2 linked regions of the Caenorhabditis elegans genome follow. The protein of the gene in region 1 purifies or fractionates together with the protein of each later gene. This does not show direct contact. Each region holds a gene or a part of one and is shown on either strand. Other genes may lie near its edges.

Region 1 (18,554 bases):
TTCGAGAGTTTAAATGAAATTAAATATATCCATCATTTGTATTATTACACACAGTTAAAATCGATGGAGCACACCGTCAGGGGATTCAATTCGGACATATCGAGCATTCTCGACCGTTTTCGGATCATTAGTTACGTTATCCACTGCGAATGATGTTACATTCGAGGATGATGATGTTGAATAATTTGATGAATACGCAGAAGACGAGGAACGTTGTGATGATGGAATATCACTCTGAAATGTCATGAGAAATTAAACTAATTTTCTGAGGAATATTCTGAATACTTACCGTATGATAATAAGTACGTGGAGAAGGAATAGGAACTGTAGATTGATAACATTCAACTGATATAAATGTAGGTGTCACATCTTTTTCAGTTTTCGGTGGCGGAGTTGTATCTGAAAATCGAAATATTATATGAAATGTTTAATTATTATTTACCTGGTTGGATAAGCTTAGGCTTTTGAGCAATAGGAGGTCGAATATTGACATAATGACTTTTATTGATAAATGGACTATCATATACATTCACACTTGTCTCATTATTTTTAGTTTCTTGTGAAACATCAACATCTGTTCGAATTCTAATAACTGATGTATTTTTGGGTGAATCTATATGACGTAGTGAGTGCTCTTCAACAATTCCAATTCTATTATTTTTACTGTTAACATAAGGATTCGATGCTTTTTGTAGATCTTCATAGATCGGTGTTGCGTAGATTTGAGGTGGAGAGGAAATTGGTACTGGTGGTGGAATTGTTGATGGAGGATCAGGAACCGCTGAACGAATCGGTGGTCGAGGTGGTTTTAACTGAGTATCCGGTGCAACTGATGGACTTGCCTGGAATTGAAAACTATTATCGGATATTCACAGTCTCCAGAATCGCGTACTTTAAGGCGCACACATTCATTCGGATCAGTCTCACCACGATAATTTTTATGGTAGCTTTTTATCTAGAATTTGTGAACAAAATTCCTCGTTTTCATCGGTTTTACTTTTCGATGCGAGACCCATCCTAATGAATCCATGCTTTTTTGCACCTTTTCAAAAATTGAAATTCATTGGAATGAGATAAATTAAAACATGGAAGCATACTTTTCTGAAAATTCTCTTCATGCCTTCAATAAAAAGTGTTAAATTTGGGTAGTTTTAATAATTTAAAATTTTTCAAACTTATAAAACTTTTAGAAAGCCTCCTTATTTTTTGTTTCATTGTTTCAATCAATAATTTAAAAATAAATAAAATTCAACTAACTTGTAATTGTGCATGAGATCTAATAGCAGGTGGTGTCGGTGGAGTTGACTTAGATCCAGCTAGAACTCGTTCATCCTTCTCAATACATTCAAGAGAAGAACTTGTATTTTTTCGACTTGATCTCAATTCTGATTTTCTTTCAGGAAGTTTTGGAAACCATCTTCTCCCGCTGTTTTCTGTTTCTGAATGTTTTGTTGAGTTCAGATGCGAATGAATTGAATTGAAAAAATGTCGTCGTTTTGGTTTCTCAATTACAGTTCCATCTACAGCCATTTTTGTTCTCAATGATGATCTTGTCTCTCTCATTGCTTTATCCAAATCTACAGCCCCACATGAATAGACATTACACATTTTCCATAAGTTCAAATGTTCATTCTTCTTTGGATCCATATATTTTTTCAAGTTATTCGCCGTTCGACTGTGCACTTTTGCGATTTCTGATAATCTTTTTAGTGGGAGGTCTAGTCTAAAAACTGGTTTATTTTATTATTTGAAGAGATATCAGACAACCGTTCTTCTCACCTCGATTGTGAGAATGTGTCAATGATTGATTGCAGCTTTTGACCATAGTTGGCTTCTGCTTCAGCCCTGTAATTGATTGCAGTTCTAGACGATTGTAAGCTGGATTTAGTTGTAGATCCTATTTAAGCAGTGAGAAAACTCAAACTGGGTTTAGTTGGCAATTTTTTCAAAACTAAAACCAACCAAAATACGAGCAGCCAATGTTGAGAAATGGGGTGCCTCACTATTAGAGAAAATACGAAAATTGTGTTGTTCTCATTGTGATTTTCATATGAGTGCGTAGTACTGAAGGGTATAAAGACATTTTTTAGAACCAGAAAAAAATTTTCCTTTTTTTTCAGAAATCATTCGATCATTCATTCAATAGAAACATTTTTCAGGAATTCAGGAATCAGGAATATCTGACGTGGCAATTTTTTAATCTCGATATCATGGGAAATGTTTTGAAAATGAAAATGCGCATTAAAATATTGAAATTTTAATTCTAAAGCCCCCATTTCATCAATGCGAAAAATGTTTCAAAATCCTTAAACTTACAAATTGGCTGTAAATTCAAGCAATGCATAGTCGTAGCGAGTTGTCATTTGTTCCGGTTGATTACTGAAATAAATGGAATATTTTTGAAATTAAGTTTGAAATATTGAAAATATCGATGACGGATAGTGAGTGACACGGCTGAAATGTCAATTCTCTTGTGATAACAAAATGTGACGCTCGCTCAAACTCTCAAAAAATGAATGATAATCATTTTAAGAGGAAAGGGTGAAGCAAGAGAAAAAGCATTCCTCTTAAAGAGAGGAAAAGTATAAATCGATTGCTTATCATATCACACGGCCTCAATTCATTGTAGAAGAAGATGAGAGAAAAAGGATTCAAAGAGAGGGAACAACGAAAAAGGAGAAAATGATCGATGAGTGATCGTCAAAAAATCTAGGCGATTTGGGGGGACAAACTTTATGTTGGATACAAGAGATAAATGAAGTTAAGGAAAAAACGAGGGCACATGGAATTAAATGGATAGTGATAAGTTTTCATCCGGCCAGTAAATTCCCGTATTGCAACTTTGGTGAAGGTCGTCTAGGTAGGTGAAGGTAGTCAATCCTTTTCTTTTGATCAAAGAAATGTTTTTCAAAATTTTGGAAATTGGAGGTTGTAACAAACGGTGCAGTTTTTATTTCAAAAACACTGGGCATAAATGTTCATGTATAAATTGAAAAAAATCTCTCAATTTTATAGTTTAGACGGCAATAAACTCTACTAAATTTATCAAGTATACAGATGAACATTTACTTTTTTTTAATTTTCAGAGAAGAATTACATATTCATAACATCTGTTATAAAGTTTTGAATGTCTTGAAAATAAAGTTTACAATTTTCTGAACTTTTGGCGCTCTTACTATTAGAGCAAATATGTTTTTTAATGTCAAAAAATTGAGAAAAGAGAATAAGTAAAAATGATGATGTACCAAGAATGTGAAAGATCAGTGATTATTGATAAGGTGATTCAAGTAGTTTTTACTTTTCCCGATTCCTTAGAAGTGATTTTTTTCTGAAATTTCCAGTGATTTTTAATAAGTTCACAAGTTAAGTAATTAAGGAAAAAGACTTTAAAACAGTGGCAAATGTGTGAAAGCCAACATAATAAAAATTGTTAATTCAATTGATTGATCTTACTGGAAGTTCATAATATCAACCAATAATTCATAAAACAGCAATTCGAAAAAATGCCTCAAAAGTTTTATAGAAAATTTTTTTGGCGCTCGTTTCAATGCATTCTAAATCAAGAATAGTATATCCAAAACACATATGTATGTCATCGAGTTTAGTCATCGAAATGGATTTAACAATTATCATGCTTCTTATATGAAAATAATTGCTTATTTCTGGAAATCTCAAAATGAGCTCAACGCGCTGCGGCTCTCGAACAAAATAGCGGGAAACTGAAAGTGCAAATTAAAATAAAATTGAGTAAAGCATAGTCAAATAGAGTCGCCAGAATCTCCATTTCTCAATTCCGAATGACCTTTTCAATGGGAAAAAAGAGGAACGGAATGGGAAAATAGTACACGGAAGAGGGACGCCTGTGGCAGATGGCCTAACCCGATATAATGCTTCATGCACAGTCTCGACGTTTTTTTTGGTTCTTACGGACAGACTGAACCCCCATAACCTATTTCCCAGGTGTCAAAGAGAATATCATGGAATTATAATATTATGACAGTTTTATTTTTCTTTTAAACAAAGATCGTTAAGTGAATCTAAAATAAATCTATCTAAACAACAATAAATTAAGTATTTACATTCGTCATAGGGGTAATGTTATGAAGCTCTCGCTCGGATTGGTTCTTCTGTTTCACTTGACACGAATAGATGTGCTGAAAATTGATAATTATAAAAAATTATATAAAAAAAAGATATCAAAACATTTGAATATAAAATCTAGGTAGGGAAGACTGTGTTTATTCAAATTTGATTTGAAGAATAGCGGTAGACGGCAGTTCTCCAAAGTGACATGCGGTATGTTTTAATTATTTTAATTTAAAACAGAGTACATTAAAAGTTTAGCCTATATTTGAACACCTCAACTTACAGTGACTTCAAATTGATAAAACAAAAACTTACAAATACAAGCATACATCTGCTCAGATTTGCTGAAAAATCGTTGTTCCTCAGCACACAAATAGAAAGTTTTGAAAAATTCGTCTTCAGGTGGCAAGTAAAGATCACATTTCAACTTTCGAGTACATGCATTTCTACCAGGATACAGACATTCAAATACACATTCTCCTTGACGAGCGGCTTTTTTATTCATAAACTGCCTTGATTCATCTGGATTATATATATTTTTAAAGATGAAATGAAACACAATAATACCAAAATCTCCAATTTTGTCTTCAATCGTTGATATCATAATATCACGAAATTCATCCATTCCTCTTCGACTCAAAACATTTGATTTTTGGGATGTGCATCCTCTAAAACCATACATACTAGAGTACGAGCATTGCTTCATTCGGTTGAATTCGGGTACAAATTGTTTCATACAACCAACGAATCCACATGTAGGGAATATTTTCTGAAAATATAAATAAAATTTGGAATATGAGGACTAACACCTACTTCACATTTAGCAAGACATTTCTCAACTGGTTCCTTTCGTGCCGCTTTCAGGCATTTTTCATAAGGTTTACATAGACATTGTTTGATAGCTTCACAGTCAATTAGTGGAATTAAAAAAATCAAGACGATTAACATTCGCATCTTTGAAAATGGAATGACATGTTTACTGTCTAATTCGTGTCCTTATATCGTGCCTAATTGCAAAGTTCAAATCGACTGGGCGGGTGGTAGGTAGACAAAACAAAAAACAGGTCGTCTATCATCCCAGGTAAATGAAAAATGTTGAGGTGCCTCCTCCGAGTGACCAATTTTTAAAGTGGTTTTCACGGTAATTTAGCACCTCTGTACGGTATTGCGTGGTTAATGACAGCTGATTGGCAATGGCGGAGACACAAACAGCCAGTACTCACGCGGTGTTGATCTTTCGTTGCATGAGTGGCAGACGGCAGAGTTAGCCAATAGGCCATGGGTTCAACAACTAGATCGGTATAAATGTACGCTCATGTTAGCAATGTTTGGGGTACATGTAGTGTTTTACTTTTTTGCTGGCTAAATATATTATTACCCATGCTCGCAATTTTTTGTGCAATTTTGTGATTCTTGCTCCAAAAACACGGTATTTACCCGGTCTCGATACGACAATTTATGTTAACTACGATAAGGTATGTGCCTTCAAAGAGTACTGTAATTTTTAACTTTCGTTGTTGTGGAATTTTCATCGATATTTCAAAGTTTTTCCCACGATTTGTCAAAAATTTAACAATTTCATTTTAGTTATTAATAGTTATGAATAAGTAAATATTTTTTTAACAAGAAAAAAAATTCCGCAGCAACTAAAGTTTGAAACTACAGTACCCCTTAAATGCGCACATCCCTTTGTATTATAATATATATTTTTAAAAAGCGTATTAAGAGAGGGTACCGTATTTTTGGCGCAAAGATTTCAAAACTTATCGTCTGGGTAATAACCCATATTGGTATAGAATCGACCAAATGGCAAGTGTGTTTTCAGACACTTGTGTAAACCTTACATAATAATCCATTAACAATGGAAACTTCTTCGCTTTGAAATTAAGTGCGATTCTTTAAAACAACATTCCATCAATTTCCAGTAATCCGCATGAATTTTAAATCGAATCATTCCACATTGCTGATTGTTTTTCTGTGTTCAACCTTCAAAAATTAGAAATTCAAACTCGAAACATCCGTTAAAAACATAGATCGCATCGGTCAGAAAGTTATTTTGATTTTCCCACTGCGTACGTACCCATCAATATTCTTCCCAATTTTCGTCTCGATCAGCTGCCTGACATGATATATTTTTGATTTCAAAATATACTTTATATTTATAATCTGGTATCGTTTCCTAATATGTTCTACTTCCTTGTCTGATTGGTAAATGATGTAAAATGAAAATCAAGAAACTAAAATTTCAAACTTTCCCCTCGTTTTTTCTGTTCCCGATCATCAATGCAATAAAATCACACATTTTAACGAGTTCTCACCATTTTTCCACAGATAACATCATTTTGGTAGACTTTGGAACCATTTTGATCAAATTTCGAGGGAATTCTCAAGTGTTCGTGATTACGGTAAAAGAGGCAGAGTCCAAAAGACAGATGATAAATATGTTTTCAGGATAATTTTGACACGTGACTTGTTGATTGGTAGGCTATGGAAAATCAAAATATTTAAAAATGAATTGAAAGTATTATAATCAGTTGACAATGTAATGACACATATTATATTATCAGTTGAAATGTGATTAATTGTGATTATCAACATGGTTTACTGGAAACTCGGAAATGATGTCAAAAGTTAACAGAGGAGTAAATGAGGTTTTACTAACATGAATTCTCTACCTTTCCATCAAACAAAAATTTGAAAATCTATGAAAACTAGGACTAATAAGAAAGATGAAAGAAGACAATTTCAAGAAATGAAACAGTTGTTTCTTCGGGATATTCCAAACACAATAGGAGGCAAAATTACTTTGAAATATTTATAGACGAAGAAAATATTTCAAATATCGTTGAGTACATTTCGACAAAATCCATTATCCACATTCAAACTTTTTTTTATTGAGTCTCGCAAAAGATGCAAGAGCATCAAAAGGAAGCATTCATAAAATTAACAAATCTCATAGTTTCCAAAATGTTCAAAATACGGCACAACAGAATTTTTACCAAAGCAGTGAGGAATGCCCCAAACTCGGCGGTATTTTTCCAATTTGCTAATTCCAAATTGCTAATTTTTATAAAACGTTTCCCTAGACTGAGTTCTGAAACCCCTCAATTCTTGATATAATTTTTGTTGTAAAAGTACAGGTTGTACCCAAACACGTTGTTCCAATAAAATTGCAAAATCATGATATAACTAACAAAACGTACTTTCTCCTTTTTCTTCAATTTCAAAGAAACAAAGGCACCGCTCACCTAGAGCACGCCTTTTTCGCGCCTAACTCAATTGTATGTTATCAGTGAAAAAAGTTAACGATGCTCTCGATGCTTTCTGATAAGAAATTAAGAGACATTCAGCATTGTTTCTAATGCATTTCACCCGTCGCGCAGTTTCTCCAAGAGCTTCATTTGTTTTTGATCGCCACGTTGGAACCATCAACTCATCTTTGTCAAGACGTCCAAGAATATCAGAGTGTGTTGAGGAAGAAGAAGAAGACGGTGGTGGTTTTGATCTTTTTGAAGAAATGAGACAACCAATTCAGGAGAATATTCCAATGATTATTTTAGAAGAAGAAGAGGATGATAATGATAATCTTGGTGAGATTTTTTAAACTAATAGTTTTATCAAAATATTTCGGGATTACAACTTTATAAAATGATTGACTTTGAGACTTTTATCTGAAACTGTGTGCAATGTGACTTTTGTGTAAAGGCTCTGCCGAATCATGTGATCAAAAAGTTTTCTTCAAAAACGTTCTGTCATATAAAGGTTGTTAGAAAAGATTTTTCTAAGTTATATTAGTTTTCAGTGCACAATTAAAAAGCTAACTTTAAATAATTTCCATCTAAATGTGCACAAATTGGTCGAGTTTAAAAAGATGTGAGCAAAAAATTATTGGTATATCTTTTTGAAATTTTTGGTTTTACTTTATCTTCTATTAGGAGCTTTATATGTTTTTAAGGTTGTATTATATTTTTAGTTTTCAACTTTTTAATTATTTTTTAAAAAAATTATGTAACAATTTTTCCCGTGGCGATTCTCATCCGAAAAAAAATCAGTGCAAGTTTAATTGCGCTTTTCAAAACCTGGCGAAAGTTTGATAACTCCCTATTTCCTCTTCAAAAGTTTTAAATAATTTTTAGAAATATTTTTGATAAACTATACCAGCTGCAAAGAATATCTAGACTTCTGATACCTGCAAAAGAAACCCATAACATATTTAGAGTATTGAGATAGAGCACAAACTAATGTGTATTGTACCTAAGTTAATTCCATAATATACTCGAGAACATGTACTTTTTATTATTATTCAATGTTTTCATGTATGCCAATTTAAAGAAACACTGAATTGTCACGTAACTTTAGATTCTAGAAGTATAACATTTTGGTAAATAAGTAAACATTATAAAGTGGGAGATACCTCTACCTTTGATCCGAGATTTGTGTGAGTAAGTGGGTCAGTTTTCCTGATTGTTTGATTTATATCATTGTTTGCTCTTTCAAAAGGAACTGGACTAATGTAAACAAGTCCTAAAATTTAGATGATAGATGGATAGATGTAATCTTCTCGAATACGCCTTGTGCGCTGATAACAACTTTTTGAGTGTTTTATGATTCAAGATATAGAAATATAGATTTACAACAATTATATCTTCTGTCAGTTGTCTTCCTCATCACTTACAAATACTTTGAGTGCGATATGTCATATTTTTGGAGTGTAACACATGGAACCCGTCTCGTGTCATTTTACACATATATTCCCACGAGTGTCACATGATGACGTAGAATATCTGTGTCCCCTCGCAAGTCTCTTTTGGTCTTCGTTTTTGCCCCACGTCCACAGCTTTTCCTCTTTCTCTTTCATTTTTCGTGCAGTCTACGTATATTCGTTTTGCTCAGTGTCTAGCTCATAGTCGATATTCGTTCTATTTCATTCACTTTGGCTCCCTCAGACCCCAAAACTTTTCTTTTTGATTTTCTGAACTTTTTCATCGATTTTCGATTGTTGTTCATTTTCCTCCATTGAACATCTAAAAACCAGATTTTATAAAAGAATAAACAAAAACGAAAAAAAGAAGATATTTCGATTTCAAGTGAAGTGCATCCGCACGAGATATGCACTCAACTTCATGTCATAGAGAAGCTTCGATTGTATTTCCATCCGACTTTTGAACTTCCTAGCGTCATTTTTATTTCTCAATAGATAAGTATGAAAGTTGTATAGCGCTTATCTATATAGTTTTTCTCTTTGACAAGTTGTTTTATCGCATATTACTTCCGATTGACCAAAAACAAAAATTATTTTGCTTAAATGAATAACTTTGTAGGCTGTAGGCGGTGAAAAACCAAAGTCCCTAACTTATTTAAAGAAACTAGATAAAAAAGTTTCAAGATTCAAGAATTTATTCAAACTCTTTCGACCAACTTGATCTATCAACCTTTTAATCTTTCTCTCATTTTCCCCCTATCAATTAATTAAGAATTTATCATTTGGCGCACGTGCGATAAATAGTTCATTTCGGAAACCATTATTTTCTAATTTCGTGTTTACTCCCTCTAATGCGACGTTTTGCCACCGCCGCACTTTCGAAAGGTGAAATTTATCAATGAGATTCGAAAAAGAAAACAGGTTTTATCTAACTTTTGCTAATAAAGATTTGTTTCAATGTAGCGAGGTGGTTTTCATTTCCATAAAGTCAGGACGACTGTGAAATTCAACAATTTTCGACTGAATTGCCAAATTTTCATTTATTCCAGTCACAATCAAAAAAAGATAAGACGGGGTTTCCTAATTTTATGGTTTAGACTGCATGTTGGTTCTTTGCCCTTATAAAAATATGTATTATGTTGCCACTTTCTTTTTTTTTATTAAACATGTTTTTTTTGTAATATAAACTCGTAAGATTCAGTGCTTACGGAGGTTAGACACACTTTAATTTCTACCGTAACCCACTTTTCTCATCAGCACGAGATCTCGCGAGATTTCTTTTCTTTTTCAAGAGTAAATTCATGTTTAATACATTTTCAATTAAAAACTTAAATAATTTTCAGTGATGTCGGTGGCGCGACCCGTCCGCGTTCACTTTGCGGTCGACGTCGAAAACTTGCACGCGCATCAATCGGTGTACGTTGTCGGATCGAATGATGTGCTCGGAACTTGGGAAGCCACCCGGGCGATGCCGCTCGTCCAAGATCCTGATAGATTGTATGTTGATATTTATAGTTAATTAAAATGAAAAAAAAAACCAATTATATTAGCATGCGCTGGAAGGGTTCAATTGTGACTGATGTGCACCAGTTGAAATTCCGATATTTCATCGGATACAATTTAATGTCGGACCAAGGAGAGAGACTTATCGTTGGTGAGTAATTCTATCAATTTTACCTCAGAATTATTTCTGATTTCAGACAAATGGGAAGCTTTTCTACATCCTCGCTCTACTCTTTGTCTTGCTGAAAGCCGAAACGACGAATGCCGTGTTGATCGTGTTGATCTTTTTGGTTATTACGCAGGAAGGAAGTGTGTTTCTGATGGATGGCTCCAGTACCCTGATGAGAACCAAATTCTGCTACGGCTTCATGGTAATGCGCTGAAATTCTATAAAACAGCAAAAGAGCGGAAGAATTGTCGTGTTAAAATGACTCCTTTGGATGTTCGTTTCAAAGCGGTAAGTTTTTTATTCGGTTGTTTAAAGAAAACTCATTTTAAATTATTCTAGCCTCCAAGCGGACATATCAGCTTCAGCTACGGCGAAGATGAGGAAGATGAAGAAGAAGATCAAAATGTTCCATCAAATAAATGTACACATTCTGCTACTCATGTCGCTGTTCTTTCTGATCCTCGTCCAAAATTCTACGACCAAGAAGATACTGGTGTTACATTTAACAACAATAAGGATTATTTGGTGTTCCGAACACATTGTTTGGCTGCTGAATTTCTTGCATTTTACATTGAGATATTCTCGGAGGAAAGAAAACGAATCGGAGCTTGCTATGCTCTTCCATCTTCCCTTCAGGATGCGTCTGGTATCATTCATTTGCCTTTCATCAATTCTTCTGGGCGGCCAATTGGACAGGTTTCGATAGAATATCTCTGCGTTCGTGCTTTAACGCGTCTCGATGGACCACAGTTTATGGATCAGACATATTGCCGTCATTGGAAGAAAAGAAATGCCCTAGAAGTTGGGCACAGAGGCGCTGGAAATTCCTACACAAAATTTGCAATGGCCAGAGAAAATACGATTCATTCCTTGAATACTGCTGCCAAAAACGGTGCTGACTATGTAGAGTTTGATGTTCAATTGACAAAGGACAGAATCGCTGTAATCTATCATGACTTCCATGTGCTCGTTTCGGTAGCAAGAAGAGATGGACTTGCTATGCCACCACCAATGACTCGTGAACAATTGGACTCTTCCAACCTTGATTATCATGAACTACCAGTTAAAGATCTGAAACTTTCACAGTTGAAGCTTTTAATGCTTGATCACTTAAGCTTCCCACAGAAGAAAGAAAATGTAAAGAAGCTGGTCGAGGCTGGAGAAGAAGAAGAAGACTTCAAACCATTCCCAACTCTTCTAGAAGCTCTTACAAAAGTGGATCCTGATGTCGGATTTAATGTTGAAGTTAAATATCCAATGATGCAGAATGTACGTTTTCAGATTTCCAGAGTATGACAATTTAAACATTGTTTTCAGAACGGCGAACATGAGTGCGATCACTATTTCGAGCGGAATCTTTTCGTCGACGTTATCCTCGCAGATGTTATGAAACATGCTGGAAATCGAAGAATCATGTTCAGCAGCTTCGATCCAGATATTTGCTCCATGGTTGCCACGAAACAAAATAAATATCCAGTGCTGTTCCTCTGTGTTGGTGAAACTCAACGATATACTCCTTTCCAAGATCAAAGAACTAGTACTTCAATGACTGCTGTTAATTTTGCAGCTGGAGCTGATCTTCTGGTGAGTGTTTTTGTTCGATTTATTCTTTCAATTTAAAACTATTTTTAGGGAGTTAATTTCAATTCCGAAGATTTGCTGAAAGATCCAATGCCTGTGAAGAAGGCAAACGAGTTTGGCATGGTCACATTTGTCTGGGGAGAAGATCTCGACAAGAAAGAAAATATCAACTATTTCAAAAAGGAGCTTGGTGTCGATGGAGTTATTTATGATAGAATCGGAGAAGAGGAACGTCGTCGTAATGTATTCATCGTCGAAAGAGAACAAAAACGTGCTCTTCTCAGCTGCTCTGGTGCCAGCACTCCGCAACGAGCTGCATCACCATCTCCAGTTTCTTCTGAAAACAATAATACATCTCCTCCACACAGCGCCAAATTAACACGTAACGCACAATCTGATTCGGCTCTTTTGGAAGAAAATGAAGATGATGTAGAGGTAGGATATCCATAGTTGATTCGTGAAAAAAACGTTATTTTCTTTCAGCACTTATCTGACAAATTGAACATTACTGGTTTCCAATCGGCTCCCATGGTCTCTACTAAGTAGCCATGTCATACAAATTTTCCTTTTCGTGATATTATTAATTTTATTTGCATCTCTTAAAATATCATCCTAAGTTTAGTGTGCATTTTCATTCATTTCATTTTTCTATTATGAACGTAATTTTATTGCTTTTCTTGGACCTTTTTTATACCTGAAGTAACATTGAAATAAGTGGACGGAAAATTTAAAGGGGTTTTTTAAAAACTTCTCAATTTCCACTAGTTTTAAAGTTTGACCATGAATGATTAACGGTGAGAAAATGTGATTTATGCAATTGAAAATCGAGAAGAAAAGTGAACAACTAGAAACTAGAAATGAACTCATCGGAAGAAAACAGTCACCGAAACTATATAAAAGCACTAAAAACTTAATTTCGTAAGAATTATTATAAATTTTTGCCAGTCAATGTTGCATAGAAAATTCGTGTCGTTTAAGCTCTTCCAATAGACTTCAGTACATCAGCAGAAGTTTTGAATGGCTGGACGATAGTTTCATCAATAGTGGCTCCGCGAATCTGAAAATGTGAACAATAATTGACGAAAAAATAATGAATGTTATTACTTACCTCTTGAGCTGGGGTGTTGTGATAAATATCGGCGTAGAGAGCTTCTGGTGGGAGAACACCGTCTGATGTAGCAATCTTCAACGCTTCATCGACCTCTTTGCGAACTTCCTTGTCAATAGCCTTAAGTTCTTCCTCTGTGGCCAATGAAGATGTAATGATACGGTCCTTGAATCCAGTAATTGGGTCTCTTGTTTTACGAACTTCTTGAATCTCTTCACGGGTACGGTAGCTGGTTCCTGGGTCAGACATAGAGTGTCCATGGTATCTATAGGTGGCCATTTCCATCATAAGTGGTCCTTTACCACTGTCACAATATTCCTTAGCCCACTTGGTAGCCTCGCGAACAGCGAGAATGTCCATACCATCAACCCAGATTCCAGGAACATAGTCTCCTCTAGTATAATACTCGGTAGAAGCAGATGAACGTTCAGCAGTAGTTCCCATTCCGAATCCATTGTTTTCGCAAACGAACAGAACAGGAAGATCCCAAAGTTTAGCCATGTTAGTCGCCTCGAAAAGTTGTCCTTGATTAGCGGCACCATCACCATACAAAGTAACACATACATTCTTTTGTTCACTGAAAATAAAATAAAATATTTAGATGAAAAAATATGAGTTGTTCTCGTAAAAAAATACATCAAAATTTGTTAACATACCGGTATTTCATGGCCAATGCAACTCCAGCTCCAAGTGGCTGTTGTGCTCCAACAATTCCGTTTCCTCCATAGAAATTCTTTGTGTACATATGCATGGATCCTCCTTTTCCGTGAACATTTCCGGCAACTCTACCGGTCAATTCAGCAAGAACCTCGGTTACGGTAGCTCCAAGAAGCCAGGTCCATCCGTGACAACGGTAAGCAGTGATGACGGCATCTCCTTCTGTCATTGCAGCCTTCATTCCGACGGCACAAGCTTCTTGACCAGAGTAGAGATGACAGAAACCGCGGATTTTCTTCTCCTTGTACAAGTTTCCAGCAGCAGACTCCATGCGACGAATGACCTGCATGTCACGGTAGTACTTGAGAGCATCTTCTCTGTTCAAGGTGACAGAGGTGTTTGGTCCATTGTCAAGTTTATGAAGTTTGCATGGCTTTGTGTGGAATGATACTTCCGTGCTCGCAAGACGAACTTGCTGTGTGCGGATTCCACTGGCAGTCAAGGATTGAAGTTGTCTCGCGAATAAAGACATTGCCGTCGACCAAATACGTTCCAGATGTACCAAGCTACTGAAAGCAGTAAATATATTTCAAAAATAAAAATTAATCGGATTTGGGATGACTGGGAACGTATAAATATTATAAGTTATTGACATGTAACAAATCACAAAACAATACGACACCGTTCGTTATAAACCTACAGAAATTTAGTCATTCCAGGTTCAAGGCTAAAATCAGAATATGTGAAGAAATTCACAAAGAATAAAAATATAAGTATGCGGATCGGAGACCGCAATAGAAGCCAAAATTTAGAAAATAAGTAAATTAGTATAAATTTATTCACATTCAAGGCACTACTCGTGTTTTTTAGGTTTGATGAAAGAGGGCAAGAATACCAACTTTAAGGAATCCATGCAGAAAATGAAACCGAAACCGAAAGATTAGACCATTGAGAGACCAGAAAAACTTATAAAATGAAAGGAACGCGTGAAATTTACAGACATTTTGCACATGTGCAATGGTCAAGTACAATAAATACAAAATTGGGTAACAATAGAATATGATAGAAAATTATTTCTTTGAATTTCTTTTCTGGCAAATCCATTCCTGAATCTTTGCCTTCAACTCAGAATCGGGAGAAAGCTCATTGTGCGACAAGGGAGCACGATTAAACGGATTATTGGGTGTACTGAGAAGATGCCTCTCGATGACTGCACGATCCATCACGTGTCCTGATGGCAATTTGACAGGATCAACCATAATTGCATCCATAATAGGATCCTTGAACTCTTCTGGTACATCATCATACTCTTCTTCAAGCTCAGCTTTTGCCTCATACTCTTTTTTAACATCTTCGGCCAAATGTTCGAAACTTTCGAGTTGACTGAATCCAACAATACTATTCTTTCTCATGCATTCAATCGCATTATGGAAGAATTCAGGACTGTAGGTACGCTGAAAAATAATTAAAATAAATCTCTTTGAATAAACAAATGTGTTAACCAACCTCGTCGTATGCTATGTATTTAACAAATGCAGGCATATTCAGCTTTAAATAGATTGAGATCAGCAACGATACAAACTCCCGTGGTTCCCATCCATAACTTCTTGGATCCTTGACTTTCAACTCGGAGGCCTTGCTACCAATGAGTTGCGATAAATTGTGATTCAACATTGCAGCAAGTCTTTCGCCGAGAACCGGAGTACGGAAAGGTTCGGGTGAGTTTACGGTAATCGATAGTAGCAATTTAAGATTACTTTTGGCTGTTCCAAGCCATCCCTTCACTTTACGTTTTGCCTCCTCGTACACGCCGAGATCCTGATTACGGATTTCTTGATCTGTGTTGTCCCATTCGACTTTGCTGAAAATAAAATTTATATTTTTAAGTTATCATTCGAAATAGTCTTACTTCGCCATCTTTTTCTCAACATCATGGATACTCTTCAAACCAGACAAGCTCTCATCTATACACCATGTTGCATCGTTAATCACCATATTGACAAACCGAATGAACTCTGCTCCGCATTCTCTTGCCATGTCCATAAACTTTCCTTTGTAGAACATATCTTCCTCCATTTTTTCCAACATGTACTGGATATTTCCACGAACGTTAAACTTTTCATAAAAGTCACCATTGTCTTCGAAATCCGAGTAGAACTTTATCATGCACATCAATAAATTTTCTTGTGCCATTCGAAGTCTGACCACGTTGAACCATAATGGAGGTTGAATAGAAGACAGCACTCTCACCAGTTTGGAAACGAGAAATGGGCTTTTGATGTAGTGATATTGTGTGAAAAGGACCGTCAGACGGGAAATCCAATCCGCATTTCTCTCCATGAGCAGTTTCATTCCATTGGAAATAGCGAATATGTAAAAATCGAGAGCATCCTCTAGAAAATATTCTGGGAGCGCACAAAACATTTGTGATACTTCAGTTGGAAGTTGACTGTCGTCTCCGAGCAAATCCAAGTTATCACAAAGCAAATTCAAAATGAATTTCATCTGCTTATCGACAAAATCCATAGAAGATGCCATTAATGCAGGATCTTGAGCTTGTGTCTTAACACATAAAAGATGACGAGACATGAGCTTCCAGTGTTCAGTCTCATAGTTCAACTTCTTTTCCACCTCAGCTCTCTCGAATCCTGACACAGTATTTAGTTTTTCTTTGAGCGCATTGATCTTATGCTTGAGCTCCTTAAGGTGTCGAGAGTATTCACTTATTTGATTCATCAATGGAGGAATAACGAGCCTCTGTGCTGCAATTGTCAGGAAGAAGCAGACTGTAGAGAAATGATATTCATCTGGACGATCTGCTGGAAAAAGAAAACAAGTTAATTTTTTGAGAAAGAAAAATGAAACTTACCGAATTGGCTAGCAAAAGCGACTGCTCCTGATTCGTCCATTTTGAGACGAGTCTCCTTGGAAATATTTATAAGCGAACTCGGTAAAAACGGATAATCTACGATAATTTTGGACAAGTCGATTTTCTCGGAAAACATGTACATCACGGACAAAAAATTTGTCATATAATGATCACACAAGACATCTGAAGGATCATAATGTGAACGAGTGCGAATGTCATTGGTGCTTATGATGGTGGCAATCCATCTTAGAGTTTTGTTGCGACTTCCTTGATCCGAAGCAAGCGGAAGCATCAATTGATGAAGCATAGTTCGAATTGGATCCATTCTTTGGAAATACAGTTTCTGCTCAGTGTTGACTGATCCATCATATTTTCTTGCATCTTCTTCACAATCCACAAAAACTCGATGATTTGGACGCCTTGCTGATGATTCGAGGCCGTACGAAAAGAACGGTCCTAGGAAGGACATTAAACCAAACTCGCGTCCTTGTATTTTTTCGGACGGCGTTGGGAGAAAATCTTCTCGATTAACAAGTAGGTTACTCAGTGGGCGAGGTCCGTTTGAAGGGAGTCTGATACTGAGAAGCAAGTTCATCACACGAAGGATCTGACGAACAATTTCGTCCTTATTGTCTTCAAAGCGTTGACAAATAATTCCGCTCCGCAAAATCCCGAAAATTGGATTAAATGTTTCTGTAATAGCGTCTTCATCGCATTCATCTGTACTTGCAAGGTATTCAACCAATGTTCTTAGAAAAACATTTGACACCGTATCCTCCAGAAGTCTTTTTGTGAACACCAAACTAGCATGTTGGCTGCGAAGTTGGCTCTCCAAGTAGCCTCTCTGTATCATCACAAAAACTGAGAAAACTGCTTTCCTGGTAGATTCGAGAGTTTTCTTGTAGCAATTTGAAGTACCGCTCTGAAAATTGTTAAATTAAAAATAGAACTATATTAGATAGAGTACCTTTCCAAGCTCATGATGGCAACGAACAAAATTGATTAAGAGAAACTCGATGGCGTCTTCTTCACGACATCCAGCAATGATATCAGGGTCGATGAAATTGAACGATCTTGACAGCCCCCTTCTTGATCCATCTTGAGATAAAAGTACAAACTTTGTGATTATTTCGGCAATGTTCGATTGCAGACACTGAGGAGAAACATCAAAATTCAGATTTTGAACATCGATTATCGCATCGGCGTAACGAAGCATTCTGTCATCTGATTTACCTTCACAGTCAAAGAGACTTGTGAGGAAGTCTTTGCTTTCAACATCTGCCTGAAAAAAGAACTAATCGCCTATGAGTATATAAAATGTCAGGCAAAAACGCACCACAGAAGCATCACTTATGTCCATCGGCTGCAAGCCTGCTTTCTCGTCTTCAATCATCTACGATTTCTGGAAATTCGTGATGATCACGTGATTTTGATAAGTAGAGTAACGATAAAGAGAATGGTGAGAGGTCTGATAACAAATATTTTACGGTAATGGGAACATTTATGAGACGGAAAAATTAAACGCAGAGGATTGTATGAAAACAATATTGGACTAGAATTGTGTATAGAGGAAAACATAAAATTATTTTCGAGAGCAAAAACTGTAGGAAGACATTTGCACCGCGCGCGCAAGAGATAGAAAAATCGAAGGAGCAATGCAGCTGCAAAGACGCTGACATTTCGGCCTCTCAATGAACATGCAGTGGAGCGCGTTTGCTGCACTACCGAGACACCACATTTTTGCAGGAGAGAAACATCGGTAGAAAACTGAATTCGGAAGAACGAGTGTTAAATATTGTATCTTTATGATTCTATTTTCAGACACCACTTAATTTGAATATTTTTAGAGCAATAAGAATTTGAAGGGGCAGATAAATTA
Region 2 (14,895 bases), on another chromosome or scaffold:
CTTCAATCCTGATAACATCACACTGAGCACAAGCACTACATTCATGAATCCCATGTAAAAAATTATCAGGTTGAGCATCTAAAACATTTGGAGATATTAAAGTTATCGTTGCGTTCAAAAATTAAAGTTACCCGAAGTATCCTTATATTTTCTGTTATTTGGTATCTTTGAGTTAATGAATATGTAGTTATCACTGACGACAATATTGCGTGGTTTTTGTTGTACTGCACTTTGTTGTAGTGTTTTAAATACCCGGTGACTACCAGAGCCAATGCATTTAATGATATAAGACATATCACCACGTATATTGTATTTGAAGCGTTACGGAGAAAATAACAGGAAATTGTTCCAAATGTGATAAGAAGGAAAATCAAAGAAATTGAAATGTACTTTCTTGGCTTTTTCTCATAGTTTTCCACAAAATACGTGGCAAAACACCGTTCAATAATCATGCATGGTAAAATGCACATTGCAGATGCCATTGTGAAAATTGAGACATTCATTGAGGCAGTGAAGATCTTATCATTGTAGACTTTCAGATCTTAAAAAAAAATTATAAAACAAGTGAAGTAGTTGCTATTTTTGCCTCAGAGTCTCTTTTAGTCGCATTCTTGATAGTCTTACTCTCAAAACGATCCCTTTTTGATTAATCTTGAATATAATACTAATTTAAAAAATATGCTATCTAGATATTGTGAGGTTATAAAAAAATTCAAGTTTTTAAAAAAATCTGAAGATTTTCCAAATTTGCCAGTTCACCAAAACTTTGACTGAAAGTTTCAGCAAATCAAAAAAGTACTTGGAGGTTTCCTTTACGTTTATTTAGAGAGTATTCTCACTGAAAATAGTTGTTTAATGCTTGTCGAGAATCGGTTAGATTAAAAATCAAAAATTTATTTTCCTAAAAAACAATTAGTTTGAACTGTTGTTTTTTGTCTGGTTTTCTTTCTAGGAAAATAAATATACGTAACATCAACTGAAAAATATCTCCTAAACATTTCTTACCGTCTATTCCAAAGAACATATCTAGTCGCATGGTGATATTTGCGATGTTATCCATAATATGAATACAATAAATATAACCTAACAAGATAGTGAAATTGAAATGAAACTGTTTTGCACATAGCATAACCCAGAAGAAAAAGGAAAATTGGATGGTACTAAAAATTAATATTAAATTTTGTTTGAACCGATTTTTGATACTTACTCAATTATGTATAAGAAAAATTCTAGATATAGATAATTTTTTAAATATGGAAAATATTCAGTGTGGTTTTGAAAGTGAGTTAGGTTGATGTAGTGAATAAGAAGCATTATTTACAGAAAAAAATGAATCTTAATCTTTCCGGAAAAATTGAATGTATGAATCCAAAGCTTTTCTTGGTCAAAAAGATCAGTCAAAGTGAAAAAAAAACACAAATTGTATTCAATAGGCCTGAAATTATGAGCTGTCTCAACACAAAAATTTGAGCGAATACCAATATTATCTATACAAAATCTGAAATACGTAATATTAAATGAAAGAGATAAAAAACGGAAATAAGGGTAATCAGAACAATAGCCGCAATAAGTGGGATCTCTGAGGAATAAGCTGATAACAAAATCTATGAATTAGTTAATGAGAAAAACACTAAAAATTGAGCGATAAATAGTCTGACACGCTTTCGTTGTAACCGTGGAGTTCAAAGATTTTTTTAAATTGTATTCTCTGTTGCAAAACATCATTGCCATTTTTATGGTCAAAAAAAATAAAAATAGTACATATTTAAAAATAACAGTGAGAGAGCCAAAATATGTGCGAAGTTTTCAGTAAAAACACTTAAATTTTCCGAACCAACACCATTCGACGGAACTCTTCATCAGCTTGAACATTGTACATCTCGCACATTTGAACTTCTTCTTGAAGCCAGCGATCTGTTTTCTGAAAAACATTTCTTTTTCAGAATTAGCTAAGTTATCGGAACTGTGACAAAAGTCGTACATAATCTTTTAGTCTTTTAACATTTTTTGAATAAAAAAAGAAGTTTCAAAATCAAGTAAACGAGAAATAAATTCAAGATTTACCTCCATTAAAAGCAATGCCTCAAAAACTTTCAACATTCGATCTGTAGGTTTATTATTCTCCAAATAATATCCTCTCAACTCTCTTTGAATAACTTTTCTCATTCGATGACACATTTCAGAGCATTTTTCTGATATATTTGTGTATCCTGGATCCAATAACATCAGTGCAAGCAGAGCCATTAATTCCATTTGATCAAATTTCAATTCGAACAATGGATATGCCACGTGGACATAGTACGACTTCCAATACGGTTCAAATATGCGATAAACATCAATATCCTTCATACTTTTCCCAATCATGCAGTCTTTATAAAATTTCGAAATTTGTTTTGCTGGTTTTCCATTCGGCGCGAAAAATGTGTGAACATCCGATTTTTTCTCAACAGCAAAAATAGCCGACTCAAAAAATGTCCACTTTGGATAAAAGTTTGAGAATAAATTCAACTTGTCCAGATCATTAAGGTCCTGCAACTCTAGGAATGTTTTCTCCAACTTTTTCCATAAAATTCGAGAATCCACAATTGCAATACTGGTATACTCGAAATAGTTAATCTGCTCCGAACTCGAAGATTTATGAACAACTTCTCTTTCCTTGGCAAGAATTCGGTAATTACTCAGTGCGTTGAGAGTTCGATCATTGTTGCGAAGAGCAATTTGTGCCGTCTGAAAAATTTGTTTTTACAAAAATTTGAACAAGTAGGTGTCTACCTCAATAAAATTTCTGCCAGCTCGCGGGAGATTGTGGTCGCGTTTTTGTTGAACTTCTGAAATTTATGTCATTGACTATACATTCAACAATACTCCATATTTGAACTTTTAAATTAAAGTTAAATTAGAATAATGGAAAAATAATGCATCTTAATAAACGGGTTTTTAAAAAGAATAGTCTGGCATCATCGTGCAAAATCACAGTTTTACAATAGATGAAAAAAAAATTTTTAAACTAACTTGTGATCATCATTCCATTTTTCACACACATCTTCATCCTACAATATCTGCACGGAGCCCGCTCCGCTTCACAATTGCATTTTTTCAGCTGCTTTGGAGAGTTTACATATCTTCGGAAAAACGCCGCACACGATCTGTTTCAAATAAAGAATTGTGTATCAAATTTTACTACCATCAAAACCAGATACCTGCAAGAAACGATTCCAAAATGAAGCTCTGAAGACGACACCTCACAAATTTTGCAAAACATGTTATGCCTAGAATAAATAAAAATTTGAAGGCTGAAATCCAAACTGTGTATACTATTTGACTAGTTTTCACATATTCTGATTGTTGAACTGACATTAAAACGCGAAAATGGCAAATCTGAATTTAAATCCTTTTGGTATGTGATCCCTCTACAGTGAATCACAAACCATAATGTTTTCTACACCCACGCGTTTTGTTTTATTTCTCATAAACTGTGACTAGGCTGTTTGTTGCAATCAGATTGTGGAACTATTTATAAATGTCATATTTTGTTTTGGAAATAATGAAACTAACTAAACTAAAACCTACTTTGTGCATCCAATAATTGGCAAATTCAACAACTCATGGAATGTCTGATGAGGTAGTGATTAGGAAGTTTTCGCAAATGACTGTTCAACAAGGTAATCAACAACTGCGCTCCACTGCAATTCAGAAACATGTGTTTCTACCAATGAGACATCGACGACATCACAGATCAATGAAGGTCAAAATATGGCATATGGCCGGTTGTAGAACGTAATGCACTATTAATTAGATAACATCTTAGATCGTCTAGATGATTTTTTAGTTAAGTTGGCAAATTGTAGTATTCTTCAGTACAATGGATTTTTTACATCAGGTTGCTAATAATTCTATTTTAAAAGTAAGTTGTTTTTTTTCCGATAAGTGAAAACGTGTTTTTTGTTCAGGCATTCAGACATAATATTAAGAAATAATTTCCCAACATTAAAGTCAAAGTTAAAGACGTTCATAACATGCTTGAAAATTTTTTCGTTTGTCTCCGATTATTACAATAATTTTAAAATGCTCATAATTTCAGTTCCCTTCACCCTTCAACTGTAAAATATGTAATCGGCCGGCACATGGTCATCATTGTGACGTGGCAACTTGTAAGGGCTGCAAAACGTTTTTCCGTCGGATGTATTTATTGAAATCTGAGCTACGGTGCTATATAAATAGTGACTGTTTTGATTTAGACAAGAGAAGTTAGTTTGAATTTTTAAATTTTAATTTACCGGAAAATACTTTTCTGTATTTCTCATTAAATTCTCAATCCGTAATTACAATTTTCAGCTGAACCACTTCTTCGTTGTCGAGCTTGCCGCTTCAAAAAATGTCTTTTAGTTGGAATGAACCCAAATGCTTTAAATTTTCGAACAACTAAAAACTTGACTCAAAGCTTAAAAAACTCCAAAGAAGAGAAAATTAAAGATGTGATTAACGAGCTAACCTATTTGGATTGCAAACTTGAGCAATTCAGACTATCGGCTTATAACCCAAATTGGACCGAAATTGGAGGACTGGAAGATTTGTTACGTTGCTCCAGCAAACTGAGCCTTTCTAATAAATTTGGGGTAACTGTGTTAGATTCAGTGAACAAGTATAATTTTGAAGTTTTTCCCCGATTTTCAGCCTTTCCCTGGATGGCCTTACCACCCAAATCATATTTTTGCTAGCTCAAATTTGGATTATAATTTCAAAACTTATTCACCTCATAGGTACGATTTAAAAAATATGAAATTTGTCAATAAAGGCAGTTTTCCAGAAAACAGTGGAGATTTTTCAATTTGCTCACATCAATCGAATTCTTGAAAACCTTCCCATTTTTTCTAAAACTTGACACAAAGGACCAGTTGATCTTGATGAGGCATGTTGTAGTTGGTTGTTCAAATTTACATTCTGCATATTACACATTGAAAAATAAATATGAAGATCTTCGCCAACCGGATGGCACTCAACGACCCAAAAAATCGTAGGTTCAAATTTTGGCAAATAATTAAAATCAATTAAAATTCAAGTGAACCCCAGTATTCTACATTTGCAATGGTGTTTTATGCTCTGATGAGAGTTGGAGTTCACTACATTGAATACTTATTGCTCAAAATGATATTCATCTGTAATCCAGGTAAGAATATTTTCAAGTGAGACCTGACCCCCAAACATCGAAGTTCACGTCAGAAATTAAAGAAAAACTTTTTGTCAAGTTTTCAGCGATTCCCAATCTGTCAAGCAACGCTCAATACAAACTAGAAAAAGGTCGAAGTTTTTACTCTGAAATGTTGCTGGTTTACTGTCTTCAAAGTTTGAATTCCAGCGGCCCAACTCGATATGTAGATCTGATTGGAGTTATTGCTACTCTGGAAAAGCAGCAGAAACTACTGAAAGATCTTCATGTTTGTCTCCTTGCTCCAATGTTGTCAATTCTTCCAAAAGAATTCAGCAGGAGTTTGATGTATGAAATGATTTTTAGTTAAGATTTTCGAATTGCAATTTTGAGAAAGATCTAATGAAACATTCAATTGAACTTTAATTTCATCCATAACCGATAAACATGTGAGAATTCATTATGCGGGATTATTTAAGCTTTTGAAAAAAATTAGAAAACAATCAAATTTAATTTTTTCTAGATTTTTAGTATTAAAAAAATGGGCAATTGACAGGACTTTATTATCAAAACAAATCCGCAGTTTTAGATGCTTCCCAATCGCGGTCAAAATTTTCCAAAATTGCAGCTCCACATATTCCTCCCATCATAGTTCTCATACATTCCTTGTCTTCCAAGAAACTGTTGCGAGGCATTGTTGAACTTGGATTAAGTAAACTGTCGATGACGCACTTATAACTTGTCGAAGTGGGACTAATCATGACTTGGAATTTGCAAAGTGAGAACGGTACAAGAGTTAGCTTTTCACAACCTTCTTTGTATGCATTGGCATTTGTCTGGTTATGCTGGGTGTAAAAACAACTTTTTTGAAGACAATTCTGAAATGTTTTTTTCAACTTCAGGCACAATAACAACAAGCTTCTTCAGAAACTCAATTAAAAATTATTATGATATTCCAAACAAATTTCGAATACCAAAACAAATTCTTGATTTTATAAAATCACACATACAAAAGTGTTACCTATGCCTACCTCGTACCTATAAAAGTTCATACTGTTAAAGTTCATCTGGTTAAACGACAATGACAACATAATAATCTGGTATACTTTGAATATAAGATAAAATATTCACTATCAGATAAGTCAAAAATTACCTGCAACTCATCACAAACATCCGGTCTGTTTTCAACAGCAGGCTTCGTCTCATTTGCATTTTTGATAAGCTTATCAAGTGATCCAACTACACCATTTCCCAATTTCAAGAGCACAGGTTGGCATTGTTTTGATATCATTTCATCGTGTAATGAAGAACATTTTTTCTCGTCTGGTTTGATGCTCATAATATCCACAAACTTGTCATAACTTGAGTTCAAATATTCCAGTGCTTTCTCATCACACCTTCTTTCGTTGGCGATACTCACAACACACGATTTTCCATTAATATATGCATCACGTCGAGTTTTCAAATCCGTCTAAAAGTTGACGCATTATGCTAATCTGATAAATGCCAATCCTTTCAAAATTCATTTGAAAACAAAAATAAAAAAAGGCATACAAATTGTTATTATGGAGTAGTCACGCATCCGGAAAATACAAGTAGGGAAATACTACTTTTTCCTACTATTAATTATTTCATATTTCTATCAGGTTTCGAACATTAGTTCCTGGAGTGTCCTAATAATTTGGCCCCTCATAACAACCCTACTTCTTATCAATATATAATGATTACCGAGAAAAAGTCAAATTCGACTGTGCAATGGCGTGACTTGTTATAGACCGTCTCATAAAACTTTGGGATACATTCTTGCATCTTGTAGTTATTGAACTCTATTTTTTCGCATTTTCTCTCATAAACTTCCTTGCTTCTCTGAGCTTCATCACATTCAATTTCCGCAAAACAACTCTGAAATCGTTACGATAATGTGTAAAAGTCTTAGTAACAAAAGCATACAGTAATTTTTTCACATGCGCTACTCATGTTCTTGGCAATTGGCACAGTAATTTGAGTTGGTGGATATTCCTCTGTTAGATACATCAAATCGTTCACATACCGTAGGCATTTTCCTTCTAGCACAAATTGCTCTTTTGGTGTACAAACTCTGAGGGGAGAATTCAATAGGTTGGATTTAGAATCAACAAAGTTGAAATATGACATTACTAGACATACCAAAAGAGTTGGTTTCCGCATTTTAGTGGGAGCAAAAAATGAATGAAATGTGATTTATTTATAGTTAGTCGCAATAATCGATTTTAATCCAAATTTAATAGGTATCGAAAAAACGTTGTTCTTTGTATTATAAGCAGTATATAAACTGTATGATGAACTGTACTGAGTCATAAATTTTTGAACGAAAAGTACTTTTTATCAAATAAAAGAATCTAACTAGAGAAGGTGCCACTGGACATGTAAACGAGGCATGTTCCATTTGAAAGCGCACACTGAGAAATGGTTAAGTATGAATTTTAAGCTCAGAACTGATCTTTTAAAGTGCTTCAAAAGCAAAATTCATTCTTTTGTTTAACAAAATATCAGATTTCTGGAAAAAATGGGTTCTTTTCAGAGCTCTCCCAAACGTTTTATGAAATTACGAAAGTGAAAGGCATTTGCAATCGAGCTTCTCTGAGCTCTCAGATAGCTCACTTCTGAAATTTCGCAGCTCAAAATTCATATCTATCCATTTATCAACACTGTCTTTTGAATGAAGCATGTTTCATTCAAAAGTCCGGTAGCACCTACATTTCCTGCTCTAGTATAGTCTTTATCCAACTAGAAACAGAAAACCTTTGATTTTAAAGACACAAAAAATGCCCGCTGCATACAATTCAGTACATTGGATTTTTTGCCGCCCAGATCACAAACTCATTTTTTGTTTACTTGCTCGTTAAAAAATCTGGAAAACACTTTGGAGCATATCGTTATGTTATGACAACATTTGCTTTAAACTCGTTGATGTATGCCTGGATTGAAATAATAACACATCCGGTTGTGGAATAAAATTAATAAAAGAACTTTAGGTAATCCATATAAAAGGCCTAGTATTTATTGTCTACATGGATAGCCCTTTGAAATATCATAAATGGATTGGAAACAATATTACATGTAGGTTAATTGATATAACTTTAAAGCTGAAAACAAAGTATTACCGTTTGAAAAGATATCAAAACTTCTCATTTCGAATTATCCAGGCCTTTTTTGCGGTTCATATGCTCTTGTAATATCTCTCCTCGCAGCTCAGTTTTTCTACATATATATCGCGATATGCAGGTATTTTGAAATATTCTTATAAAAATGAGTTTTCTATATATTAGGCCGGACGCATTACCTAGCATTGAAGGTTTCAAACTGAGTCTGATATTTATTCCGTGTTTTATTTGTTTCTTTGCATGGAATTTGTTGGTTTATTTTGGAATGGCCAACACCGTAGAGAAACAGGAATATATTGAGTAAGCATTTAAATATGTTTGTTTATAAAAGTTAATAACTTATAGAGAAGAACTGAGAGCTTGTTATGATGAAGATTCTACCAAGATCTCTTTTATTGCTCCAATGTACTGGTCGATTGGGGAAAATGGGGAGAAAATTTGGAACATTTTGGAAATTGTGTGCGTTGACCACAAAACCAACATGCGCACTTGGATGTGCGGTGATTATTGTAAGTTGTAATATACTAAAAGTAAATAATACCAATTGAATTAAAGCTTTGTTAAACATTTGTTCTTTTTCAGATTATTTGCTTTTCAACAATTATATTTTGTGCAACAAACCTATATTCATCGTTGAAGAAAAATCAAGTTCATATGAGTGCAAAGACAATGGAATTGAATCGCCAGTTTTTCAGAACTCTAATATTTCAGGTAAACGGTAGTTTATTTAACGTGATGTATTTAGTGTGCTCCACATATATAGTGATCTTCCAAAACAAATTTTTTAAAATCAAATTCATAGAAGTCTTCACAAATTATTGTTTTAGATGACACATTTTAAATTTACACGACCTTTTTTTTTTAATTTTTGTTGCTTAGCATGCCATTTTTCGAAGTGTATGTTAGCAAACTGGCGAGCCTTGCAGCAGCTAGTGTGGCAATATATCCGTCGCTGGAGCCACTTATTGCAATGTTTTGTATCAAAGATTTCAAACGATATGTTACTTGTGAGTGGTTTTTCTTTTAGAGACGTCGATTGAATGAAAATCATTCAGGTTCCCGCACAAAAGTGCTTCCTGGAAGTACATATCAGCTGTCAACTGGGGCATAATTGCACATTAAACAAAAAAATGGAATTACATCCAAGATTCATAACGATCAAGGTTTCTTCAACATTCCTTTTGTAAAATAAAATTCATAATTATTATCGAAATTCTCCAGTGCAGCAGCTCCACATTTAGCCTCGATTCCATTTTTAATGCAGTTTTTCAATACGACTGGAGCATTTTCCACAGTTTTCGATGTTTCGTAATTTTTCACACAGTTGCTTAAAGTTGAATTATCGTCTCGAAAAAAGTCGAGGCAATCGACAAATTTTTCATTTATATTGTCCATTTTTTCCAACTCGCCACAGACTACGTCTAAATATTCGCTGATCCCTTTCTTTTTGGAGAATGTACAGGAATCTACCAGACAGTCCTGAAGAAGTTTTTAGAGTTTAGATTACAAAAAGTTTTAAACAATGCACCTGTACATACATGCAAATCTTTGAGGTGTCTGAATCATCATGCTTCAGCAAATTCGTAAATTCATTTGCTTCGTCGCTTTCGGATTGATTCATCACCATTGGTGGCATAAGTTTTGCAAAAAGAGTAACAAATTGTAAAGAAAATTGAGAAACTGGCTCATTGCAGCGAAGCTCGTTTAGCTCATAGTACAGACCAACACAAGGTTCTCCATCAGGTTTAATTGAGATTAGATCCACAAAGTGTTCATATTGAGAAGAGAAATACATAACTGAACTGTTAGAACAATCATTGGTTACAATTTCCATAAAACAATCCTTTCCAGAAAGATACGCATTTCGCTTGGTTACAGGATCTTTCTGAAAATTATCAAATTCAAAATCCAAAATGCAAGTAATTTCGGTAGAAAATCATCCATAATTTATCGACGACCGACATTTCAGCAATGCTAGAAAACTCGGAAGATGTCGGAACATGTGTGCTGGAAAATTTGACAATTTCAAAATTGAAAATAGCCGTAAATTGTTTTATCGTTTGTGAATTTAAATTCGTTCCATCTAAACAAAACTTTCAAAAACTCACTGCTAACCAGTCAAAGTTCTTTGTACAGTTGTATGTGTCCTCGAAAATTGCGCCATAAATTTCTAGCATGCACTCCTTAACTCTGGCATTCGAAATTTTCATTTCGGCGCATTCCCGCTCAAATTTCTTTTTATAATTCGCAGATTCTTGGCACTCATACTCTCCATAACACTTCTGGAAATATACAGTTAAAATCGGAAAACCATCGGACAAATTCAATTATTACAATTACACTGCTACACAAATCCGTCATATTTCCAATAATATCATCTGGTAGAATTTTTCCATCGTAGTCGTCATTATATGAATTGAGTTCATTTGCAAATGGTTCACAATTTTGTTGAACTGATTGAATGTCTTGCAATGTGCAGTTTTTTAAAGTAACATTGCTTTCTGGAGTGACAGAAACAAAAAGTAACAATATAATAAAAGGAGAAAAGTGTTGCATTTCACACAAAAAAGAGTGGTGAACGTATCGGACCAGGTTTTAAATAGTTTTGATGGATTAATTTTTGATCTATTGAATACTTGTGTACTTGGCAAATCGGGCAAGCTTCCCAATAAATGTTTCCAGAATTTTACAACGAGTTGTGGGAAAGCTGCTGTACTATGGTTGATAACATTATTTCCCTTCCCTTAAGCAAAAAAAAATTCAAAAATTTAGACACTGAACTTATCTATAATTTGATCTATCTAGTAGTAAGTAAAACTGGGCAAACACTAATTGACTATCTTTTCTTTGACTACCTTTGCTCATTGACTACCTTTCGGATCATTGACTACCTTTTGCTCATTGACTGCCTTTGCTCATTGACTACCTTTCGGATCATTGACTACCTTTTGCTCATTGACTACCCTTCGGCTCATTGACTACCTTTGCTCATTGACTACCTCAGATCATTGACTACCTTTTGGCTCATTGACTACCTTCAATTGCTCATTGACTACCTTTATCTAATTTTTCAGAATTTTCAGTTTATTTCGCTGAAAAATCAGAATTTTCAATAACATGTTACTTTTTGATGTCTAAGAAGGTCGTGCACTTTCTCATTTCCTGATATTCCGGAAAAAATAGAGATGAGATCTGATGTATAAATGCTCATTGACTACCTTCAAATGCTCTTTGACTACCTCTATCTAATAAAATTTTCCAAAATTTATTTTTTTGAAAACTTTTCAAAATTTGATCAGATATTGTAGAAAAGTGCAATTTTTGTCGTTTTTCTAGTTTGGATGTTCTGCACACTATTGCAGACGAAAACCTGAGGTATAGTAGAACCCCTAAGCTCAAAAAAACGCACTCACTTCGGATGCTGATATCTCCGTGGAAAAAAAATTTATGGCAAAGTGATTAACTACAAAGTTGTATATCTTAATCTAAAGTGCAACTTTGTAGTTGATTGTTTTTTCTCAAAAAATTTGTTGGTCGAGATAAAGTTGTGTAAAGTTTGGCACCTTCATGCTTGTATTTTCTTCTTCTTTTTCTGTTCATATCTCATCCAACAAATTTTTTGAGAAAAAACAATCAACTACAAAGTTGCACTTTAGATTAAGATATACAACTTTGTAGTTAATCACTTTGCCATAAATTTTTTTTCCACGGAGATATCAGCATCCGAAGTGAGTGCGTTTTTTTGAGCTTAGGGGTTCTGCTATACCTCAGGTTTTCGTCTGCAATAGTGTGCAGAACATCCAAACTAGAAAAACGACAAAAATTGCACTTTTCTACAATATCTGATCAAATTTTGAACAGTTTTCAAAAAAATAAATTTTGGAAAATTTTATTAGATAGAGGTAGTCAAAGAGCATTTGAAGGTAGTCAATGAGCATTTATACATCAGATCTCATCTCTATTTTTTCCGGAATATCAGGAAATGAGAAAGTGCACGACCTTCTTAGACATCAAAAAGTAACATGTTATTGAAAATTCTGATTTTTCAGCGAAAAAAACTGAAAATTCTGAAAAAATAGATAAAGGTAGTCAATGAGCAACTGAAGGTAGTCAATGATCTAAGGTAGTCAATGAGCAAAAGGTAGTCAAAGAGAAGGTAGTCAATGAGTGTTTGCCGTAAAACTGGCAGACTCCAAAAATGTCGGGACATGTGTGACACCTGCTCTACAACTCACACACATCATTCAGGCATTTTTGATTCCCAAAAATACATGAAAAGTCCACATGATATAAATTTTTAGACCCCCGACAGATAACGGCCAAATTTTACACTTTTGGATCGTTTGTATTCGATTCACACTTTTAAGAATGAAGAACTGCATGTCGCGAATAGCATGGAGCAGGATCTCCATTATTCACGACTTAATAATTATTCTATAATTATTGCATAAGTATTACTGTAATTGAACTCTACTGGCGAAGATCACTACTACGAACAATCCACATCCACATTGCTCTGAGAACTACATCATGCAACCAAGAACAAGGACGTCAATCCATTAAACACGTGAACCACTACCGCATGCACAAAAGGATGACGGACGCGAGCAGCCACGTGGTGACCTTTCCACGTCTACACCGACGACCACAAGACACGTGTACAACACCGCCCAACAGGAGATGCTCATCGAATCAGTCTTAACTTTTTACTCGCTTCATGTTCTTACTTTATGTTCTTGCGTTACTTGTCTATTAGTGTTACTAGTTGTCTATAATAAATCCTTGTAGAGTCACCAAGTGTACTGTTAGTTTAACTTATATAAAATACCACTGAACGCACTGCAAAACACTGCAGGCTTTCTGGAAAATGTTTTACCGCTTTTATACCGCTTGTAAATAACTTTGTTTTAAAAAATGAATATTTCAAAAATTTACTGTTAACCAAATAGTCTTGATTTGCATGATTTGCATGCAAATTTACTGTTAACCAAATAGTCTTGATTTGCATAAACTGATTTTTATCAATGTGGAATCTATAATAATGGTTCATATCTTTTCATTAACATCCTAGATTTACTGAACGATTTTTATAGTTGTGTTTCATTCAACGAGTTAACTAAATAAACATTTATAGTGTCTTGATAACTTTCCTCCAGAAAAGTGATAATGAAATTCTACGGAGAAAGTACACTTTTTGATCGACAACAAATTGCATTCTGAAAAATTATTTCCTACAAAATGTATGTACCACGAATGTTGCAGAAAAATCTTATCCTTTTACTTTAATTAATATTTTAATTGAATTAAACTATTTACTATTAGGGCTTTTGATGCCTGACTCATGACTGTTTTGGCCAATTGTTTGCATTTTGATGTCAACTCTTCTCAGACAAACGCTTAGTCGTCTAATTAGATTTCAACCAAATATAATGGGGACATAATTCATATTTGTTTAGAAATTCATGTTTGATTATATTTGCTCCATATTTTATTATAAAATCCATGTTACATTAGATTTGTTCCATATTAGATTAGAAATCCATATTTGATTAGATTTGTTCCGTATTGGATTAGATTTAAACCAATTTCATTAGATTTGTTTTATATTGGATTGGATTTCAACCATATTTGATTAGAAAATCCATATTGGATTAGAATAGGAAGCCTATTAATTATGTCCCCATTTGGTTGAAATCTAATTTTTGGTTGAAATCTAATTAGAGGACTAAGCGTTTATCTGAGTTGTGTTAAGTGTTTGCACATTGTAAAGGGTTATCTCTTTATTTTTTCTAACTTTGAAAGAAGAAATGGTTGAAATTCACTTCTATGAGACCAATATGACCAAATATCGTAGAAAAACATTTCAACCTTTTTTGAAAACTTATTATTATGGTCTCATTATGTTTTAAATATTAATATTCAAGCACATTAAATTTCTCAGGGAAATTTAATATTAGAATGGTATCCATCATATTGAGTTATAGGGGTCTCAAAGCAGCTGGGTTCAAAAGCAGCTAGCTGGTCATATAAAGAGACCACCACGTTGTAACTTCCATGAACATTTTGTATGTTCTTAAAAACGCCAAGTCGATCGCCGGACATCTGAACTTGTCTATTGTGACAAATGTCTCATCTCACTCTATCTTTTGTTTCTTTTATATAGATTCTAAAACAAGTATCAAGTGTTTATTCCACGAAAGTAATTTCAGATGAATTGGTCGATAAAGGCGTTGCTGTTTATTTCCTGCGCAACGACATTTTGCTATGTTGCACTAATGGGAAAAGCGGATCTATCTGCAAATGTAAAAAGAACAGAACTAATATCACCAGTTGTTGAAATAAAGAATGGAAATAAATGGATTGTTGTCACAAGTGTCAGTGCTCCAACTGAAGATGTTAAAGTAAACCGGTTCAGTGGTTTCAAATAACTGATACCATTTTCAGAGACTATCTTCATTTCCAGACTGGAACTTAGTTGTAGTAGCAGATACTAAAACTCCATTGGATTGGAAATTGGAAAATGTGCATTTCTTATCAGTCGAATATCAGAAGCAGTTGCGTGAGTTAAACATTGAATTCAATTTTTAATGCCAAATTTATATTTAC

What was found.
Region 2: the proteins of gpcp-2 (region 1) and C12D5.9 fractionate together in Caenorhabditis elegans (co-fractionation; one large-scale study listed by BioGRID). This does not show direct contact.

Annotation. Positions count from the first base shown.
Region 1 is NC_003280.10:8,062,266-8,080,819, reverse strand, and holds gpcp-2 (Putative glycerophosphocholine phosphodiesterase GPCPD1 homolog 2), read left to right. Parts: upstream 1-7,445; 5' UTR 7,446-7,447; coding exon 7,448-7,676; intron 7,677-10,131; coding exon 10,132-10,285; intron 10,286-10,338; coding exon 10,339-10,442; intron 10,443-10,488; coding exon 10,489-10,748; intron 10,749-10,799; coding exon 10,800-11,729; intron 11,730-11,777; coding exon 11,778-12,044; intron 12,045-12,092; coding exon 12,093-12,476; intron 12,477-12,524; coding exon 12,525-12,587; 3' UTR 12,588-12,844; downstream 12,845-18,554. Other genes in the region: K02C4.5 (FCH domain-containing protein), read right to left, coding at 55-234, 290-399, 443-842, 1,258-1,723, 1,780-1,845, 2,317-2,363; K02C4.2 (DUF19 domain-containing protein), read right to left, coding at 4,099-4,154, 4,402-4,608, 4,654-4,855, 4,900-5,040; pdha-1 (Pyruvate dehydrogenase E1 component subunit alpha), read right to left, coding at 13,015-13,098, 13,150-13,726, 13,806-14,375, 14,507-14,520; Ubiquitin conjugation factor E4 ufd-2, read right to left, coding at 14,877-15,260, 15,313-15,667, 15,716-16,625, 16,676-17,597, 17,643-17,969, 18,012-18,068.
Region 2 is NC_003283.11:7,682,644-7,697,538, forward strand, and holds C12D5.9 (T20D4.11-like domain-containing protein), read right to left. Parts: upstream 7,346-14,895; 5' UTR 7,334-7,345; coding exon 7,097-7,333; intron 7,049-7,096; coding exon 6,875-7,048; intron 6,618-6,874; coding exon 6,300-6,617; intron 6,025-6,299; coding exon 5,713-6,024; 3' UTR 5,550-5,712; downstream 1-5,549. Other genes in the region: sre-11 (Serpentine Receptor, class E (Epsilon)), read right to left, coding at 1-78, 132-541, 1,006-1,160, 1,208-1,314; nhr-94 (Nuclear Hormone Receptor family), read right to left, coding at 1,820-1,921, 2,065-2,727, 2,773-2,828, 3,013-3,146, 3,201-3,262; nhr-152 (Nuclear Hormone Receptor family), read left to right, coding at 3,863-3,904, 4,082-4,247, 4,336-4,616, 4,675-4,760, 4,808-5,014, 5,061-5,167, 5,254-5,516; C12D5.10 (T20D4.11-like domain-containing protein), read right to left, coding at 9,448-9,768, 9,818-10,174, 10,398-10,571, 10,624-10,845; ZK105.3 (Glycosyltransferase), read left to right, coding at 14,499-14,690, 14,734-14,848.